Linked DNA regions of Schizosaccharomyces pombe. The protein of the gene in region 1 binds, or shares a complex with, the protein of each later gene. Each region holds a gene or a part of one and is shown in the gene's direction. Other genes may lie near its edges.

What was found. Proteins that work in one complex are often made in the same cells at the same time.
Region 2: ufe1 (region 1) and sec20 share a complex: the UniProt entries of both Schizosaccharomyces pombe proteins name them as parts of the SNARE complex.

Annotation. Positions count from the first base shown.
Region 1 is NC_003421.2:997,427-1,004,222, reverse strand, and holds ufe1 (SNARE protein Ufe1), read left to right. Parts: upstream 1-1,889; 5' UTR 1,890-1,958; coding exon 1,959-2,078; exon of another isoform or gene 2,079-2,106; intron 2,107-2,241; exon of another isoform or gene 2,242-2,275; coding exon 2,276-2,510; intron 2,511-2,598; coding exon 2,599-3,203; 3' UTR 3,204-3,511; downstream 3,512-6,796. Other genes in the region: formin For3, read right to left, coding at 1-1,093; SUA5/yciO/yrdC family protein Sua5, read left to right, coding at 4,055-5,281; mitotic spindle checkpoint protein Mad3, read right to left, coding at 5,603-6,535. UniProt on the Schizosaccharomyces pombe protein: Syntaxin required for targeting and fusion of Golgi-derived retrograde transport vesicles with the ER.
Region 2 is NC_003424.3:4,103,113-4,108,263, reverse strand, and holds sec20 (SNARE protein Sec20), read left to right. Parts: upstream 1-3,545; 5' UTR 3,546-3,641; coding exon 3,642-4,322; 3' UTR 4,323-4,531; downstream 4,532-5,151. Other genes in the region: bbc1 (SH3 domain-containing protein), read right to left, coding at 1-1,437; RNA polymerase II CTD phosphatase Rtr1, read left to right, coding at 2,555-3,148. UniProt on the Schizosaccharomyces pombe protein: SNARE required for targeting and fusion of Golgi-derived retrograde transport vesicles with the ER.

The DNA of each region.
Region 1 (6,796 bases):
GTTGCAAATCCGGTGGAGCAGCACATAAATCTCGAATGAGAGCTAAAGTTGCAACAAGGTAATCAATCAAGCAGTCCGTATCTTCAAATTCGTCCATGTGAACAATCGCTTGAGGAGATGAATCAGCACAAACTCGGACACCAGTAATCACATCATTAAAGGAATGCATCCATGCGCTAAACCGAGTTTTTGATAACTTTTGCTCGACGAGCCATTCGAAAGCCCTGATTACAGCTTTGAAGTAACTCAACCCCTTTTTATTACAAAGGAATTTAAGGAGAAAAGTAGCCATGCGAGCTGAATTTAAACTTTTTGAAAGCACAGTCTCAGCAATAGTACCTAGAGCATTAAATCCTGGAACAGAGCATTTAGCTGAAGACTGATAACGACGACGGCAGTTTTCGCTGTTCAAACAGTGAAATAATGACTGTATTATTTGGGATTCAAGAGGTGTTTTAGATGCACGTTCAGGATAGTGACCCAGGTTTCTTAAAGCAGACAGTAAACTTTCAATACCATTTCTTTCAGCAAATTCATCCATCCACCAAATTGGTTGAATACGTAATTGAACGTTTAATAGCGATAAAAAATGGTAAGTAGGTGGGACTTCAACGACTTTTTCAATGAAAAAGTCTATCCTTTTTAAAATTCGATTATAAGTTGCTTCATCTAAAACAGTATGTTGGTTAGTAAGAGGAGCATCATCGTCATAAAAAGTGTAGCGCTTGGTTCGCTCGTTGGTAATCTCTTTAACAATGGTAGGTTTTGGAAATACACGGGATTCTAAAGGATAAATTTTACGTAACTGCTCAGTTTCGGATAAAAGTTTATCATTTATTTTTGTCTTTTGGTGATAAACAGTGTTGTAGCACATAACATATTCGGGGTCATTATTGTCATCGGAAGTAAGAGAGAGATCTTCTCGCGACTCAAAATCATTAGTACTTTGTAATTTAGAAAGATCTGAATTTTCAGATAGGGAAATCGTAGAGGGTGTTCCAATACGTTCGTTGGAAGAGGTAGAGTAACTGGAATTTCGAGATTGAATAGAACGACTAGTAGGGGGAGACCCTTCAGGCATTTTAGATGCCATTATGAATTAACATACCAAACTGGTAATTTGGTTGTAAAAAAGATACTAACGAAGCTGATTAAGGAATAAATGGTAAGGAAGAAAGCAATCTTTGGTGAAAGAGAAAATATATCGTAATGCAGAGCTTAAAGCTCCGCGGTAATGTCAACCAGATTTTAAAATCGTTTGGATGATTATATTAAAAAGTTGAAAGGAACGCAGGTATCAGATGTGATGCGAAAGTACAGCTTTTTAGAAAAAGGGGTAATCACTGTATATTGTATAACAATAAGCAAATACTGAAGGTTAAAATCAATTAAAGTTAATAATATTAGCCTTATTGCAATAAAATGCTTGATAAATATGCAAATTTAACGTTTCGAAGAGCGTTGGTAAAGGATGAATTTATGTCGCCCAAACCATGTTATTATATAGCAACCTCAACACCAGCAAAACAAAAACCTTATTTCTTCGAGATAAAGGACACAAACAACTTTTTTCAAGCTAAATTTTTAAAAATAACTCAAAAATTGTAAACAATTTGACTGCGCTCCATTCTTGTGAGGTGTATAACTGGTTACGTTTGTTTGTTTACTTGAAAATAGCTCATTTCTAAATACTTCAAAAATTGCGAAACTTTAGCTTAATTTCATTTATTGTAGACATCGACTTGAAGTAAATAAACAAAACTCGTACAATGGAGTATTTTTTTTTGCTTTTTTGAACATTTGTTACGAGCACCTTTAAGTCTCTCAATTCCGTTTACCGTGTCACTATTCATAAGGGGATATGGAATGCTACCATTTTCTAAACATCTGTTCTGTTAATTTGAAATTCATTTAACCCGGGATTTATATTTCTCCTTTCTTAGCATCTCAAATTCTGAATGACGAGTCGTACGAATGAGTTTTTTGGATTAACAAAAAATGGCGACATTGATGCAGCAAACATTCCTTTGAAAAGAATAAGTTATACGGATCCTTTTTTGGCTGAAGGATATAGAATTGTAAGTTTGAGGACGAGTTTTCTGTAATTATTGAACCAATCGGAAATTTAACCTCAACTCAATTGATCACTGTGGAGATGCGCTACCATAATATACGATTAATTATTGAGTGGGATTGGTTTAAATTTTTGACAGTATTAACTTTTGTTATTGCTTTCTATATCTAATCAGAGAGTTCAAATTGCTAACGTTAGCAGCATGAAACGATTGTTAATCTTCTAGTATTTTTGAAAAAGATTCGTGGAGCTTATTTAAAGGACAGAACATTTTCAAATGTCCAAAGACTCTCAAAACCTTTAATGGAGTGTTCACTTGAGGAGCTTTCAAAGCTTGAGCTAGATGAGGTTCAAAGGGATGAAATAGAACATGAAGTCTCTTCGGCAATCAGTAGCTGTATTCATCAAATAGCTAAGTTGCAGGAGATTGTGAAAGGTAAGCTTAAAATTTTAATACTGGTAAAATTATGTTTACTTAAATTATAAACAAAACACAGGGACATGCTTGCTAATTGCATGAGTAGAACAACAAAGTCAAATCCCTAAAAAAAGTGGTTGGCTGCAAGGTTTAAGAGACCCTAGTAAATTATCGAAAAAGGAAACTTTAGTCGCCCACCATTCATCTGTTCTGTGGTATCTGCAGTCTGAACTTTCCGATGTTTCTTCTGTTCTATATCATTTACAAGATCTGAGATTAAAACGAGGTCAGGAAAAGCGAAACATTGCTTCAGACTTTTTAACAAAAAATCCTACTGATGAAAATTCAGCTGTTGAGATCCCTGAATCTGAATTACAAACATTTTTTACTCAACAGCAACTTCAAGAACTTGAGCAAGAGAACGATGTTTTACTCCAAGAATTTGAACATACTATGGAACGTTTACGTGATACAGGGAAATCTTTGGCTGATATTACTAGACTTCAGTCGGAAATATCCGCTCAACTATCTATTCAATCAAGTGCGGCTGAAAAACTTTATGATGATGCCCTTAATGTCATGGATTCGCTGTCTGGGGGTAATCAACAACTAATCAAGGCCAAATCTAGAAGTAGTCGGACCGCTCGTCTGCTTTTTTGCATCTTTACCGTTATGGGACTTTTATTGCTATCCTTGGATCGTATTGTTTAATTCTCTTCATTCTTCTGAAACTTTATATTGTAACAATAATGACAAAGGAATGAAACTCGTTCTTCTTTGATCATGTGAAGTTCATGTCTATAATCTCATGTAAATATAATGTTTATGCTTATTCTTTCGACCATTCCTTGCACGCCCAAATAAAAATTCCTTATAATTCATCTTGGGTACGTTAGTTTTCCAAAAATTTTCTGGCCATTTACTATGAAATAGATTATGGTAAAATTGTAGCTTGAAAAATCTAGTATGATCGAATGTTTATAGAAGTTCACAATCAGTCTCGATTAATTCAAAGTCAAATTTGTTTGTTAAACATTCAGCTATATAATTTAGATTGATGCATTGGACATTAGCAAATTAACTAAATGCTTAGTCAAAAGGGATGTATTGGAAGAATATATTCTTACCCTGCCAAATAACAGAAACGATAAAAAAAAACCCACAAATAAAAACAGTAAGTGGGTTCTTTTCATTCGTGAAATCATTGTCGCGCTTACATTTCTTTTTTACAACCTCTGTAGCTAAATTCAAATTTTAAGTAAAGATCGTCGTCAATCACTACTCTAGTAAAATTTCTCAAACGAGATTTTATTTTCGTATTTAGAGTAAAATAATCTTGAGTTTTTAAATATATCTTCAACAATTATTTCTCTTACTTTGCAAGAGTCGACAACCAGCAATGATGCGCTTCAACTTAATAATAGCAATCAACTTCACCCTTCTCTCTATCAGCATTTAGCTTCTTCTTTCTAAATCAATTAACATAAAACAAGCTGAAGTATTACAATTTTATAGCAAAATTGGCCTCAGTAAGCCAGAAACTTAGGTTTTCTTCCTTGACAATGGAAACAAAAATTCAAACAGTTGATACTCGCCTTATCTCTTTTGAAAAGCCTAGTAATGATTCGGAACATCCTTTTGAACACACAAGGGTGTCCATACCTCCCTCAGAAACTCGTTCTGCATTAGAGAACGCCGCGAATATATTGAGAAACACCGATTATCCAGTTGCTTTTCCTACCGAAACAGTTTACGGTCTCGGTGCTGATGCCCGAAGGACTGAAGCAGTCTTGTCAATATACAAAGCAAAGAACCGCCCTGCTGATAACCCTTTGATTGTACATGTTGCTTCTCTGGATCAGCTACGTAGATTGCTGTTGAGTGCATATCCTAAAGCAAAGTCAGAAGTAAAAAATCAAGCACATGACTCAGAGGAGATTATTCCAAAAGTTTATTTACCGTTGATTAAAAAGTTTTGGCCTGGTCCACTCTCAATTTTGCTGCCAGTTGTTGACGAGGCTAATCCCCCGGTCTCACCAATTGTGACAGCAGGACAAAAAACGTTTGCTGTTCGCATGCCTCAACATCCTGTTGCGCTTGCCCTTATTTCTATTTCAGATTCGCCGTTAGCTGCACCATCGGCTAATGCTTCAACAAGGCCATCTCCTACGTTAGCTAAGCACGTTTACAATGATTTACAAGGTAAAATTCCTTTAATTTTAGATGGGGGAGCATGCGGTGTTGGTGTGGAGAGTACAGTTGTAAATGGACTTTGTGATCCTCCCGTAATTTTACGGCCAGGAGGCATAAGTTTAGAAGAAATTCAAAGCTCTGGAGGGGCCTGGGAGCGAACAAAAGTATTCGTAGCTAAAAAAAGTGATATGGAAACAGATTTCATCCCTCAAACTCCTGGTATGAAATACAGACACTACTCTCCAACTGCCAAAGTGCTACTTTTTGTCAATTACACAGAATCTGATGCATACGGTGTTTTTGAAAAGTATTTATCTGAGCAGGGAATCACTAAGGAAAAGCAGAAGATTGGTGTTTTATGTAGTAAACGTTGGAACGAAGAGTCATTCCCTTCTCACTGTCCGTTTGTATTTTTGCATATGGGAAGGGATGGACATGAAATTACAAAGAATTTATTCGCTCAATTGCGAGATTTGGATCTGCAGGGAGTTGATTTTGTTTTGGTTGAAGGTGTCTCCGAGGAAAATGAAGGGCTAGCTATCATGAATCGTTTGGGCAAAGCTGCTTCTGTGGTTTTTGAGGGGCCTTCTCATTAGTTAAAATATTTATAGCTAAGGGGTCTTAGCTTTACTTGTATAGAGGTGTAATTACTTATCGAGCTATCTGTTTATTATTTTGATAAATTGTCTATAAAAGAATTATTTATATCATATTCATTAACTTATGGCTGACTATAATTAATTTGAGAGTAAAATATAAAAAAAAGCTGCAAATCGTAGTATAAATAAGATGCTTTATGTTAAGTTCGTATAACCCTTAAAATTCGCATGTTTCAACCTATTTCTTATTCCGGGAGTCATGATGTACAATAGTTGTTAATCTAATAACGCCAATACTTTAAATCTTTTCTTTATCGGTTATTCTTTCGATACTTCCTCATCACAATGAACTTGAAATTTCCCAAGAGGGTCCAATTTTCTTGGAGATTTCAAAGGCAACTTTTCGCCTACCCAAGAAGTAGCCGATATGTTGTTTTCTTTACGCCTTTGATCAACTGTACCAAGAGTTTGCCAGGTCCCAGGTTGGCCATCCTTTCCAGAACCATCCGCATCTGAATAAACAGAAAATTTAAATTTAGGTTTAGAAATTTTAGTCCTAGACTGGGATATTTCCTGGATATTTGTTGACTCAAATGTCGTTTGTAAAGGATTAACCGAATTTGTATTTGAAGAGAATGATTGTGGGGCAAATTCCAACCAACGGTGAGTAAATTGCTGATACTTTTGCTGAAATCTCAAAAATGGCTTAGCCTTCATTCTTTTTCCTTTCTGATAAACTTCGTCAGCTTTTTGAAACAATCCCCTAGACTCGAAATAATTTGCGTATTCCTCATAAAAAATCGAGGACTCCTGTCCAATATGATGATGTGCCAAGAAAGAAAATAATTCAACCGGTTCGTCTATATAGTTTACATATTGCATCCATATTCGTAAATACCGAACATCATCTTTATAAAGCGGATTTCGTACGAATTCTCGAGTACACCTTTCTAACAATGTTACCAGTCCACTAGTTTTTGTTTCACCTTGAGGGAAATTATCCAAGGTCCATTTAATATAATCGATCCAAACTTGTAGTGGATCATCAAGAGACTCGCTCGTCTCTATTTTTCGTTCATGGCCCATCCTTTCTTTTTGCAGACCAGCAACTTCTTTTTCGGTGTGGTTTCGCGACGAAGATTTTGCAAGTGCAGAAGCTGAATGACCAGCTTTTCTAGGCTCTATGTTTTCCTTGGACTGCTCAATGACATCCATATGCACCCAGTTCTTGCCAGCATCTAATGGTTCCATTTGTAGTCAATGTCTTCCAAAAAATTAGTAAACCTTTTCTAGAGAACCCTATACCTTCCACTAAATGAAAATAAATAAAACAAAGAAGGAGATGTGAGTGTAGTAGTATTGGAAAGTTTATTTAGACAAGTACAATTCTATTGAAAGAACGAAAATAGCCAGTATATAGTTTAATAGAAGGTGTACTGAAAGCTTTTGTATAAAATTAAAAGTGTCAACACTCAAAGAGCAAGAGTAGGAATGTATGAAAGATTGTGCGTA
Region 2 (5,151 bases), on another chromosome or scaffold:
TGGAGAAGAGTCATTAGTGGTGCTCTTTGCTTCCTCGGAGGATTTGGCAGGAGTTCTCCTCAAAGTGTTTTTCCGTCCAATAGGTGCAGCTAGACCAGGCAATCCAAAAACATGCATACCAATACCTCCACTCATTTTTGCCATTCGTTCGCGTAGGGCAATTCGTTTAGCTTCTTCGGGATCAATTTGTTCTTCCTCCTGCTCTTGTTCTTGTTCTTCCTCTACATCTTTATTCTCATCATCCTTTTCCGATGGTTCATCCTGGTCTTCAGGTTCAGATTCGGGTTCGTGAGTGCTATAGGGACTGTGCATCTCATCTGACTCAGCATCGTCATATTCATCTTCCTCCTGCTCACTGATTTCGCCCTGTGATTTACCGGGCTTTTGAGGATCCAAGTTAAGGCGCTGAGAAAAGGCTCGATTCAAATCAGTAAGGGGTTTAGCGGGCTTTGAGCTTGAAGCTGGCTCATCGGAATTCGCAGTATTGGAAACAACAAAAGGATCGTCATCCTTTGCAACTCGCTGGCTCTTTGATAATTCTTCTGCCTGTGAGTCCGCAGACGGAGATTGATGGGAGGACTCAGTAGCCATGGTGGAAGAAGCTGCGGGATGAGTGCGTTCCAAAACGGTTATTGCGGATGCAGATGCGTTATCAAGATACCTTAAAGAGTGTTGGGTAGTTGCGATGTTTGGTAAATCAGTTGGGCACTGTGAATGAGTACAATCGACAAGAAAAACTGAATTTGGGTTAGAGGGGATGACGGTAGACGTGTTGGTGGAAGTAGTAATGTGGGTAGTGGTGGTGTTGGTTACAGCAGCACCGGTAGCAGCATCCTCACCACCAGTAATAGTGTGAGTAGCGGTAAGTGGTAGCGAGTCGTTCTCAGTGGAGCAAGATGGCGTCTCTTCAGATATGGTATATGGAGCTGAGAATGTATGCAATTTTTCCACATTTTTTAAAGAATGTGGACGCGAGTTGCTGTCGTTACCGAATGGCGCACTCAATGTATCCACATCAACTATCTTCGTAAGTGCTTCACTTGTACTGTCAATAAAGTCATTAGCTGAAAGATATGATTCTGTATCGGCACCAAGATGCTCTGTATTGTTGGAAATCGACTTGATGCTACGTGTAATAGAAGGAGCATAACCTAAGGAAGAGTTGCGAGAATGAACAGCACTAGTTGGCGTAGGTTGATGAAGAGCCATTTCGCTAGCACGTTCTACAAACACAGCATCCTCTGCTGGCTCGGTAAAGTCCTTTGGAAAGGAGCCAATTTTCCTGTTACCGTCCGAGTCCACATATGTTCCGGTATACCAGTCGCCGTCCAGATTACTGACGACGTCGATAACTTGGCCTGGATCAAATTCCAAGTCATCGGAGAAGCTGCTTCTATAAGGATAGAGTGCAACCACTCTTGTGGGAAACGAGCTCATCGTGGAGCCTGCGATCCGCTAATACTTTTTTTAAGTACAAAGAGAGATCAGATAAACAATGAACCAGTATAAAAAGAATGGTACCATTCAATATACAATACACTGATTCTTTTTTCCTAAAACACAGATATACAAAAAGCCAAAAAAAGAGAAAACAAGATACCAAAGATGAAGGCTCCGCCGATTTATTTTACCACTAAAAATATATACAAATGATAGCGAAGCTGAACGTCATCGTTAATCTCTTCTATTAGGATATCTAAGCCAGTACACTGTCATTTTGGTTCCTAAAGGGCACGCGATTTGTGCAGACAAAGAAGTTTGGTCAATCTTAACAGCAATAAACACCCAAATGATAATATCGCACGTGAAGAAGCGACTGACTACATGTGAGACGATTTTCAATGAATGAACATTGTGGGGAAAGGATCTGGGGAATTCCCTTCCAATCGTAACATCTTGTTGACAGTGATTCGTTCGACTAGCCAAAGGTAGCGTAATGCACTGTAAGATTATTGGGTATTATTTTGCTTATCAATGTTGATTGGTTTTTGTTATTTAACGTTATAATAATATTTACGCAATTGGATCTGGTTTCCTATTTTACATAAGGATACACTAGCAATCCTAAAACGAAGCCACAGCATCGTTGGTTTGCTATATTTACGATTACTGTGTGGGTGTGGGGTATGGTATGGATATGGATATGAATCATTAAGATTAAGGACCAGTTATTTACTAGTGGAAGATATGAATAGGGTGGATGTAAATTTATCATTATTATTTTTAACGGTAAAATGATTTTCTTAAAGAGACCTACAAAACTTTCTTTACATGATTGGTGCAACGCATGCTTTTCTTTATTTTTTTTCCTTTGTCCACACTCAACTGAGAGGGTAATTTCTATCAAAATTTTTAGTACCAAGGCCAACGCACTGTCTTAGTTCGCTGTAAATGAATTGCGTAACTCAAGAACTCTTTAACAAAAATTGCACGGCGCTAAAGTATTTTTACGATGCTCATTCCTCCTTCCAATGCTTGACTGACTCATATCTGCCTAATAGCGATTTTTAAGACCTTCTGTTTTCCAGCTGACTCCAATATATCCAATTCAGATATGAACAAAAAATCAATTCTCAAAAAGCCGAAAAATGCTCAAAGCACTCAAGAAAAGCAATTGATCACGTGGTCGAAGAGTCTTATAGATGAAGCACGCAGTCGACTTCAGTATGATTTTTTTGCCCTCGAATGGATTGAAAAGCTGGTTGATCCGGTTTCCCTAGAAACTTTAGAGGAAGCTCGTAAATACCTTCGAAAAAGTGATTACGATCAAGTGGTGAAGGAGCGTAAACTCGTCAATCTGTGCGGTTATCCCGTTTGTCCTTATGAACCTAAGCAGCAAACTAGGTATAAATTAGAAGATTCAGGAATGAAGGTCTACGGTGGACTCAACTATTATTGCTCGAAGGATTGCTTTCTAAAAAGTTGTCAATATATGGTTGAGTTGAGCGACGAACCATTATGGATACGTGAAGATGCTCGCGAAGCTATGAAACAACATCTCGATCCTCGTCAAGATGAAGCATTTCGTAAAGAGTTGGAAAACAAAAAAATTGAAGATGTACGCTTACTCCTGCAAGCGTTGCCTGTGGGTTATAAGGCAAAAGTTGGTGAAATCGTTGAACATCCTTTGGCTAATGAACAATCATAAAGCAAATGGAAGTTTATCAAATTTTTTCTTTTCACCCCAGAATATGTATAATATTTTTGAACAAAAAAGACACCGACTTGTGTCTAGCGTCGTTTGAACTAGAATGAAAGGTTGCTTCATTCTACAGTTGCGTGCATAGTAACATTTCTGTGGTTTTCGACTTTTTATTAAAGATCGATACAATATTCCCTTTACCATTTACACTTTCTAATTTATTTCACCTTATTGCCTTCTATCTTTATTGTCTCTTTCTCTCTCTTAGCATCTTTATTTCTCGTTATTTATAATTCCGCATTTGATTTCTTTTCCTTATTCTATATACCGAACCTTTCGATGTATAGTCTTATATTCACCTTCAGCTGTGCTATATTGTTAGTGCATCCATCATTCGTTTCCCACTCATCATCATTTACCTTTATCGTTCTTTCCTCTTGCATCTCATAATACTATTTCTCCTTTAACTTGTTCAATAAAGCAGAGAACATAGCATTCGATGGCCGACGTTCTGAATGCACTAGAAGAAAAAGTTGTTGAATTACAACAGTCAGAAAGCGTTGAAGTTATTAAAAGGCATTTTCGAGAGTTTAGAAAAATATGGGAAACTGCAAGGGTAGAGCTTGAATACTCATCCATTCAGCTAGACTCAGTTCTACGATATGAAAAGGCTGTACAAGAATACATTCGGTTGAACAGAAGATATCGGAATAAGATTGCTAGTGGTGAACCATGGTTGCCTATCGCACAAGAAATAGGTAAGATTGTAGATGAAGAGGAAATTACCTCACCAAGTGATGGTTCTCTTCAAAAGCGTTCAATGGATAACTCTGGTTCGTGGCAATCTGATGATATTTATCTTACAAGCGCCAGTCAGGTCACGGCGGCTATGCGTGATATTCACGCACAAATGGTACAGGCAGTGGATATGAGTGCCGAAAATGCAATGGAGTTGTCTTCGAGTACCAACTTGTTAGAAACTCTACAAGAGAAATATTTTGGTGTAGAGGACGTTTTATATACAAGTAAACGGATAATCAAATCGCTCAAATTAAGTGATCGAAGTGATTACTTTTTAGTCGTCTCGGGATTTGGGTTCTTCATATTTGTGGTTGTCTATCTTCTCTTCAAGCGAATTGTCTGGCCTATTCTTTCTATGTTTCTTTGGTTTCTTCGGTGAGATTTTGAAAATGCATTGTTTATTAAAAAGAAAGGCGAGATTAAAAGCAAGGCTTTTTGAGGCTCGTTCCCATCGAGCTCGAAGTATCTATACGAGAAATTATTTTTTCGCCCTTTTTCTCAATTTTATTTTGAAAAAGTCTTTGTAAAGTAGTTCTTATGTTTTAATGTTTATCTTATACGATTGGTTTTTATTTACGTGTTGTTCTCTTTAAATAAAAACGTTGAATGGCGTAGAAGTTTGCTGATGATAGTAATGCTATAGTATTTGTAACTCAATGGGAAACGCCATTCCGTAAACAAAATGAGTTCTTGCTCACGAAATATGCGACAGTCGGCATGCAGCTGCATTTCAAATCATTCTTATTGTATATGCCTCTTTGATTGTCAAAACCATTTGTTTGACCACAGTACAAAAAGAGCAGTATTCTTTGAATTCCTAATAAAAACTAGAGCGCTTGTTAATTGGGAAACGCATCTTGTTAAGTCTGTCGCATATTTTCTAGGGTCCGGTACGAACGCCTAGAATCTGAGATCGGATAGCAAACTCCATTAAACCTATAAACTTAAAACTAATAACTGCTTATGTAAAAATTCATTAACCAAACGTTCTAATTATTCAGTGTCCTGGTTCTATTTGTTTGTGTGCTTTCTACTTCAAATGCGTAATATAGTGTTTACAAGCACGTAAGCATAACGATATAAATTAAGGCACATGCCCCGCGATGTCTCACAACAACTTGTCTTTAACCAAACTCTTTACGTTAGTTAACGGAGATATAAGTCTTTAAAAGAATTATCATAACTAGGTATCTGTCGTTTGATCTCGT